Linked DNA regions of Xenopus tropicalis. The protein of the gene in region 1 interacts with the protein of each later gene in a biochemical or structural test. Links are inferred from orthologs where the notes say so. Each region holds a gene or a part of one and is shown in the gene's direction. Other genes may lie near its edges. The genes, in order: npr3 and nppa.

Region 1 (3,830 bases):
TATACATTGTACAGGGTATTGCATTGAGCATATATTATAACAATATTTTAAAATATACACATTCCAGGGTTTAAAATTGCCCTGTATTCAGCATAAATTATACAGAGTCACATAAAAACCTCGTAGACATTGCAAATTTTCAAAATTCTTCTTAATCAAAAACTTTTTAACCATTATAATGGATATTATGGCCACTGTGTTAGAACATCACACCCAACATATAAAAATACAGTGAAGTTTTAAAGTGCAAATTAGTGCAAATCGATTAAAACCAGCTAAAAACTTAATACAAAACTATTTAGGAAACTAGTTGCAGGCAATACAATTTTGAGAAGGGATTCCTTCCATCCAGAGCATACTGTAAAGTCAATACCATATGCACAGTTGGTGAGACTTTATAGAAATTTCACTAATTATAAAATATTTAAAGAACAAGCGAGACAAGAGTGTGAGAGGCTCGAAGAGAGAGGATATAATAAAAATGATCTGCAAATAGCGTTACACAAAGTAGGTGACCTAATAGCAAATAGTAACAAAAATAGAGGTAAAAAAAGTAAAATGGAAACCTCCAAAACTACAAAAGTTGAAGAGATCAGGTGCATTCTAGATTTTGGGGTGCAATATAAACAAATAACTAAAGTTATTAAAAGAAACTGGAATATTTTACAGGTGGATCCAGTGTTAAAAAAGCTGAATATGAGACCAGGTGTTATAAGTAGAAAAGCAAAATCGATAGCGGGATTTATAGCCCCAAATAAATTGAAGAGAAATAACGATAGGAAAGTGACATGTTGGTTAGGTAATGTAAAAGGTTTCTTTCCATGCAAAGGTTGTAAAGCCTGTAAATATACTGGTAATAAAAAAACATTTTTCAGTAAAAATAATGATAAAGAATTTAGTATAGATACTTATATATCATGTCAAACACAGTATGTTATCTACTGCCTACAATGTGAATGTGGTTCTATATATGTGGGACGGACTATCAGACAGCTAAGAACAAGGTTAGGAGAACATCTGCGAGGACTGAAAAATAAGGATGATGATAACCCTTTATATAAACATTTTAAATATTCACATGAAGGCAAGCAGATGCAGTTTCAAATGTTTGGCATTGATAAAATAAATGAAAGAAGTGAAGGAAACCTGGTTACTAAGCTGTTGCGGTTAGAATCTAAGTGGATATTTACATTAAACACTGTAATACCAAAAGGGATGAATACAAAATTTGAATTAAAACCATTTTTAGTGTCATCCTGGAAATAATTTGTGTAGGAGAAATATGGGTTGCAACCTATAGCACTAAATAGCACCAAATGATCTTAAAGGCAATTCTTCTGGGTTTGAAAAGTGACTTATGAGTAACTGGTCGGGGTCTGAATATAAGATAAAGCGAATGAACAAAAAGAAAGAGTTTTTAGCTGGTTTTAATCGATTTGCACTAATTTGCACTTTAAAACTTCACTGTATTTTTATATGTTGGGTGTGATGTTCTAACACAGTGGCCATAATATCCATTATAATGGTTAAAAAGTTTTTGATTAAGAAGAATTTTGAAAATTTGCAATGTCTACGAGGTTTTTATGTGACTCTGTATAATTTATGCTGAATACAGGGCACTGTTTAACCCTGGAATGTGTATATTTTAAAATATTGTTATAATATATGCTCAATGCAATACCCTGTACAATGTATAGGGTAGATGTGGATGGGTATAAAAGGGATGTGACATCAACACACCACACCTCCTCTGATGAAGCACTCAGTGCGAAACGCGTTAGGAGAGGCACTAGGATGCACCTTGTCACTGTTTGGTATAGTATATATCTGAATTTGTTTTGCATTATGTTTTGAATGAATTTTTGAGCCATTAAAATGTGGTTTTATTTTCACTGAATCAATTGCTGTTATTTGTATACTATGTCAGGACCTATCAGTGAAATATAAAATGTGATTTCCTTTCCTAAATATATACTGTTGTGATTGATTAGATATAAAATGCTGGGACTGTTATCACTGTATTGTCCAGCATGCCTGGCAGTTAGGGATGCACCAAACCCAGCTTTTTGGGTTCGGATGAACCCCGAATCCATCCCAAAACAATATTTGGTGCAGTGGTTCTCAACTATGAAAATGGTCCCCTAATGGGCTCAAAACCAAAGGAGGTTGCATGAAACTTTATGGTGAATGCTTAGTTGCTATCATAGATATCTTTGGAACTGTAAGAGAATGACCATTTTATATATATGTAATTATATGTATTACAAGGTTGGGCTTTCATTTCACAAGACTGAAGACCCAGAATCTGTTTAGTAGGGGGAGTTTCACTCCGATTTAGGGTTCTTCTCAAACCCTTCTATGAAACCGAAGACATTCTCTAGCCTCATATGTTATTTCTGTGACCCAGTCACCTAAAGTAAATATAAATAAATGGAGGCCACTCACTTCACATACAAAAAAAGCAACATAGGTGTTTGGTGCAAAAAAACCCAAAACTGTATAGGGTACCGAAAGCAGTAATTTTAAATAGGATAAGGGTTTGCACACCCCAACGTTCTCGATTCCCCTAGAGAAAGGCTCTTTGCTGAAACGTTGGGGTAATTCTCATCTTTGGCAAGTGTATCCGCTATCATGCGTGTCTCTTTTTTGCCTATGCACATTTTGTGGTATGTATTATCTTATCATTTTATGTGTTATTTTCTGTAATTTTGTAATTAAAATTGTTTGCTGTTAAATCTTCTGCATATTATAGAAAGGATTTTTTTTTAATACTACCACTGTGCTTGTGTTTTCTGTGTGCAAACCCTTATCCTATTTAAAACCCAGTCACCTGAAGTCCAGGCTAAATTGACTCTCCTTCAACACAGATATTATCATTGGGTTATTTAATGCAGTTTTTATTTACAAAAACATATGGAAAAATCTCCTCTAGTAGCAAAAAGTGACACTTGACCATCTCACCATTGACATTCCTCCCGTTGCAGAAAGAAATACAGAATAACTATCGAAAGACGAAATCAGCAGGACGACTGCAACCTAGGGAAACACCGACAGCTTCGGGAAGATTCCATAAGATCTCATTTTTCTGCGGCATAAAGAATAGAAAACAAACAAAAATCTTTAGGAAGAAGCAACCAAAGACATCATTACGTGTGATGGGGTTCTTGCAGAAGCTATTTTTTAAGGCAGTAGAATCTTATTTCCATTCTCATATTGTTTTCAGAAACTCAGGAATGATCGATTAATTGCATTATGCCATGTGGCCTTTCATCTTGTGAAAAACGGGCACGGTTTGACAAGGTTATTACGATCTGTGCGTAGAAATCATTGGGCGATGTGTGTCGGACAAAGATAGGCACTTTTTTAAAAAAAAAATAATGTTCCTTTTCAACATGTTTGTCCAGAGCTTCATAGGAAAAACAAACCCAAATTGGCACACATAGTTAACACTGAAATTATTTTTTTCGACACTGAAAATTTTTGCAGAAGGAAAGGTTGTTGGAATGCAACCGCGCAATTTTGATTTGATAGTGCGCAACCTTGGCAGGTACTGGCAGCAGTACGGGTTGTATTCACTCCCATACAGTAGACGTTGTGCGGAAGAGTTAAAACGAGCACGCCGGGCCATTAAACCCAAAGCCTCTGCACGGAATATACCATTCACGTATCTTATTTCTGCTATGAATTCTCGAGGTCGATGGGTTAAAAATACCTGTTTTTGCCAAAGTACACTGAAGAGTTCATGTTGACTCTGGCGAGCTGAAAGCAAACACAATGAAGCATTGATGCAAATGAATCTGTCCATCTTGTTGAATTTTTCTGGTTTGCTC
Region 2 (4,264 bases), on another chromosome or scaffold:
ATTTGCTGTCTCAAAGAGTTTTTCAGTGCTATTTAAAAATGAGTGGTGACCTAGAGTATGTAAGGAAACCCAGGTAAGTACTGGCTTGACTAGTTAGTGACGAGGGAAAAAACAGAAGCCCAGATGTCAGAAATAGTGTCACTTCTTTCCAAAACTGGTCATATTCTCTAGTGCCACAAATTAATGCATTGGCATTGTCACACAAAATACAACAATATCTAGCTACATATTCAAAATATACTCATACTCCATATTTGCCACCAGAGAGAAAAAATGGAGGGGAATAAATGATTAAATAAGCTTTATATTTTAAATGTTAATGCTTAAAGGACAAGGAAAGTCTAAGTCACTTTGGGGTGCCAAAATGTTAGGCACCCCCAAGTGACTTAAATTGCTTACCTTGTACCCCGGGCTGGTGCCCCTGTTAGGAGAAAACAGCACCAGCCCGGGGTAACTGTAGCGAGTGCTTCCTTCTTCCCTATTCGCGCTGCTGCTTATTGTCCGGGACAGGCACATGCGCAGTAGAGTGAAACGCTGACTTCTCTGTTCAAAGTTCGGCTACTCACTCTACTGCGCATGCGCGCGCAGCGAACAAGGAAGAAGGAAGCGAACGCTGCTACCCCGGGCTGGTGCTGTTCTCTCTGTACAGGGGCACCAGCCCGGGGTAAAAGCTAAGCGATTTAAGTCACTTGGGGGTGCCTAACATTTTAATATTTAAACTGGGACAAATTTACTATAAAAAGGGAAAGGGTTTACTAATGAAAAATGGAGAGGAAAGGCTAGCAATGTAGATTTTATGACATGTTTTTAGCTTTTTCAGAGTTTGTAATCTATTATTTAAACTTTTTAAACATGGAATAAATGTATTTATTTCAATGAGCACAGCAATAAGTTAAGATCTAAAACAATGCTTTTAAAGGGTAGTTAACCTTCAAATTAACTTTTACTATGTTATAGAATTAGCAACCTTTAGTCGCTCTTCATTTTTTATAGCTTTTGCATTATTTGAAGCTAATCTGGCCAGGTCTGTTGTACTTACATTATATTTTATTAGTCTTGGAGTGCTCCCACACTGCCCTGTGTGTTTCACTAGCTAAACTCCATCCATACCACATTGGTTAGAAGTTTGAATTTTCTTATTTTCTATGAATCACTAATAAGGAATGCAGATGTAAAGATAGATGGGTCAGTTTATCCTTTTCACCCAGACACTGCATGTGAGAAGCCTCTTTAACAAAGAATGTGAGTCTTCCATCAGGTCAGTTCAGTCAAGTGGATAAGGCACCTCCTGGAAATTCTGTGGAAATGCAGAGGGAAGAATAACTTTAAAAGGGAATCTTCTGTTGGCCTGCAACCAGCTTCTTTATCATACGGAAGTGCTAGAATGTGGCGGGGTTCATTCCTCTGCAACTCTGTGTCACTGCTACGCATATAAAATGAGTCAGTGTTGTGTATATCAGAACAAACAAGGAGACACACAGACATTTCTATAGTGGAAATTAGGTTTTTGGTCAATATCAGAAAGTCTCAGGAGTCATGGGGACTTCATTCGTTGGATACTTTACTTTCATCTTCTTTCTTCTTGCTCTGATGAAGGCCAGGGGCAGTCCTGCATACAGCTCTATCTTGTCTTCTGATCTAACAGACTTAAAGGTGAGAGACTCTGTAGCATTGATGTGGTTCTAAAGAACTTTACTCAAAAGAAGGAATGAAAATATAATGTAATTCTAAACAGTGAAGATTAAAGAGAAAGTGTAGGAATCCAGCAAAAAAATACTGCATGCTCTGTATTCTATTATTTTACACACTTTTTTAAGTTTATCCATTAAAGGGCAGTTACATATTTACAGCAACTAGCTATTATTAACATGATCCCTTTTGAAGTTTCTCGGATGCCTTCCCAATATAAGTGTCTGTTGTTGTAGTTATTTACACTAACAAATCAGAGTTAAATATCTTTAGTGCACATTGAATTCCATCAATTAATTTCATTTTTTCCTACATATGATCTTTCCCTGGTGTATAACCTCCTTTATGTATAATTAGCAGGGAAGCTCTTGTATCCCACCTAATACAACATGTGATTTTAGCAAGTTTGCCTATTAAATAAGCTAATTAAAACTATCTATAAATGTACAACACAAAAAAATGTATAATGCCTAAAATGATAACATTCAGAAATATGCTTGTAGTAAAACATATTGGGCCCATAATTTATTTGCAAGTTTTAGATGCTACTCATACAATCATTTGTAAATCTATAAATCAGTTACAGTTGGGGTTACATTATTCATTATAATCTATAGTTTATCTTTTGCTGGCACACACCACATATATTATTAAGTTCTTATAATTAAAGTAGATCTAAACCAAAATACAAAAAAAGTCAACTTACATTGCTCCTCTGAGCACTTGCTATTCACTTACATTTTTTGTTTTTAGTAGTTTTTGAGTTATAGTTTTAGACTCAGCATCTCTCTAGGTTTAACTGACTATGAAGTAGGGATGCACTGAATCCAAGATTTGTTTTGGGATATGGCCAAGATTCAGCCTTTTTCAACAGGATTCAGATTTCACCAAATCCATGGTTCTTGCTGAACCGAATCCGAAAAATCACATGACTTTTTGTCATATAAATACGGAAGTTGAAAATTTGCCACTGCCTGCTTTGCATACAATTGTCTTTAACCTTCCCCTATCCTAATTTGCATGTGAAAATTAGGATTCGGATTTAGTTCAGTATTTGCCCGAATCTTTCATAAAGGATTAGTGGTTTGGCCGGATCCTAAAATATTGGATTCCCTACTATGAAGGTGGTGCATAATCAGAGACCATTAATAAAAAAAAATGTAAATCACAAGAGTGGTCAGAGAACTCTGCTTTTAACAACAACAATAATTCAGACAGCTCTCCTCATATCCTATAGTCTAGCTCTTGCTTCATCCAAAAAGTCACTGGAAATGCCGTACAGCTTATCAAGTGAACATGGGCATTTATTGGGAAGTTGATATACACATAGTTTCACACAGGCACACCTAAAAAAAAAAAATTCTGAAGTTGGACCTCCCTGATCTTTACACATGTATTTAATACATTATATAAGTACCAGAATAACTCTTAAGCATCTGGCCCACATCTACTGGCTGAAAATATTAGAGCAGATAAGCTTATCTCATGATTTTAAAGTTTAGTTGTTTCTGGTTGTAGCCTTTCTTTATCACCAGTCCAGAACAACCAGTAACATTTAGGGGCATATTTATCAAAATGTGAGTTTAGAGCTCAATACATAAAACTCACATTGTATTCATTCTTGTGGGGTTTTTAGAAGCGTATTTATCAAGGGGTCAGAGTTAGAACTCACCATTTGATAAATACACCTCTAAAAAACCCATAGGAATGAATACAACGTGGGTGAGATTTTATGTATTGAGCTCTAAACTCACATTTTGATAAATCTGCCCCTTAATGTGAGTTTGCCTAATTATTTGGATATTTTTTTTAAACATTACCCTCAGACATGAGAAACTGTTGTTTACATGACAATAATTTACACACATTCATAATATATATTTGGAAGAGTTCACTAGAAATTAATTTCTTCACTGCAATTGACTACATTTTATTTAGCTCATTAAGATCTTTTTCCTGTAGAACATTTTGGAGCGCTTGGAAGCGCCTGCAGAAGAACCAGTGGCCCCATCCCAAGATTTATTTGCTCAGAATTTTGATGTTGCCGATGCTTCTAACTCTGCTCCTTCCTGGACCGGAGAGGCTGTGAGACCCCAATCTGATACAGTATTCAACAGAGGGTCTTCCTGGGAAACACCTGATAAACTATCCCGACTAAAAAGCAAGTTAAGAGAGCTTTTAAATTCACCAAAAAGTTTAAGAAGGTCCTCAGACTGCTTTGGAGGACGCATTGACAGAATTGGAGCCCAGAGTGGCATGGGTTGCAACAGCCATAGGGTGAGCAGCAAACCCATTCTTGTAGTATCCACCTAAAAACACATTTGCTAAAAATTATAAGGGAATTGTGTTGAAATAACATTCTGCCTTTTGTTTTAATTAAAAAAAAAAAATCAAAGTTTTCCTTTTATTTGCCATTATAGAGGACTAATTTGAAAGTTGGGCTACTCACTGACCTTACCGTCCCTTTCTTTAGGGCTCTGGCACACGGGGAGATTAGTCGCCCGTGACAAATCTCCCTGTTCGCGGGCGACTAATCTCCCCAAGTTGCCATCACCTGCCATCCCACTGGCGAAAG

The links.
Region 2: the proteins of npr3 (region 1) and nppa form a complex in vitro, tested with the Homo sapiens proteins (4 studies listed by BioGRID, with this or other methods). The link is inferred for Xenopus tropicalis from reciprocal best matches to the Homo sapiens genes NPR3 and NPPA.

Annotation. Positions count from the first base shown.
Region 1 is NC_030677.2:200,603,110-200,606,939, reverse strand, and holds part of npr3 (atrial natriuretic peptide receptor 3), read left to right. Parts: intron 1-2,984; coding exon 2,985-3,096; 3' UTR 3,097-3,830. UniProt on the Homo sapiens protein: Receptor for the natriuretic peptide hormones, binding with similar affinities atrial natriuretic peptide NPPA/ANP, brain natriuretic peptide NPPB/BNP, and C-type natriuretic peptide NPPC/CNP.
Region 2 is NC_030683.2:65,813,889-65,818,152, reverse strand, and holds the start of nppa (natriuretic peptides A), read left to right. Parts: upstream 1-1,428; 5' UTR 1,429-1,536; coding exon 1,537-1,653; intron 1,654-3,651; coding exon 3,652-3,966; intron 3,967-4,264.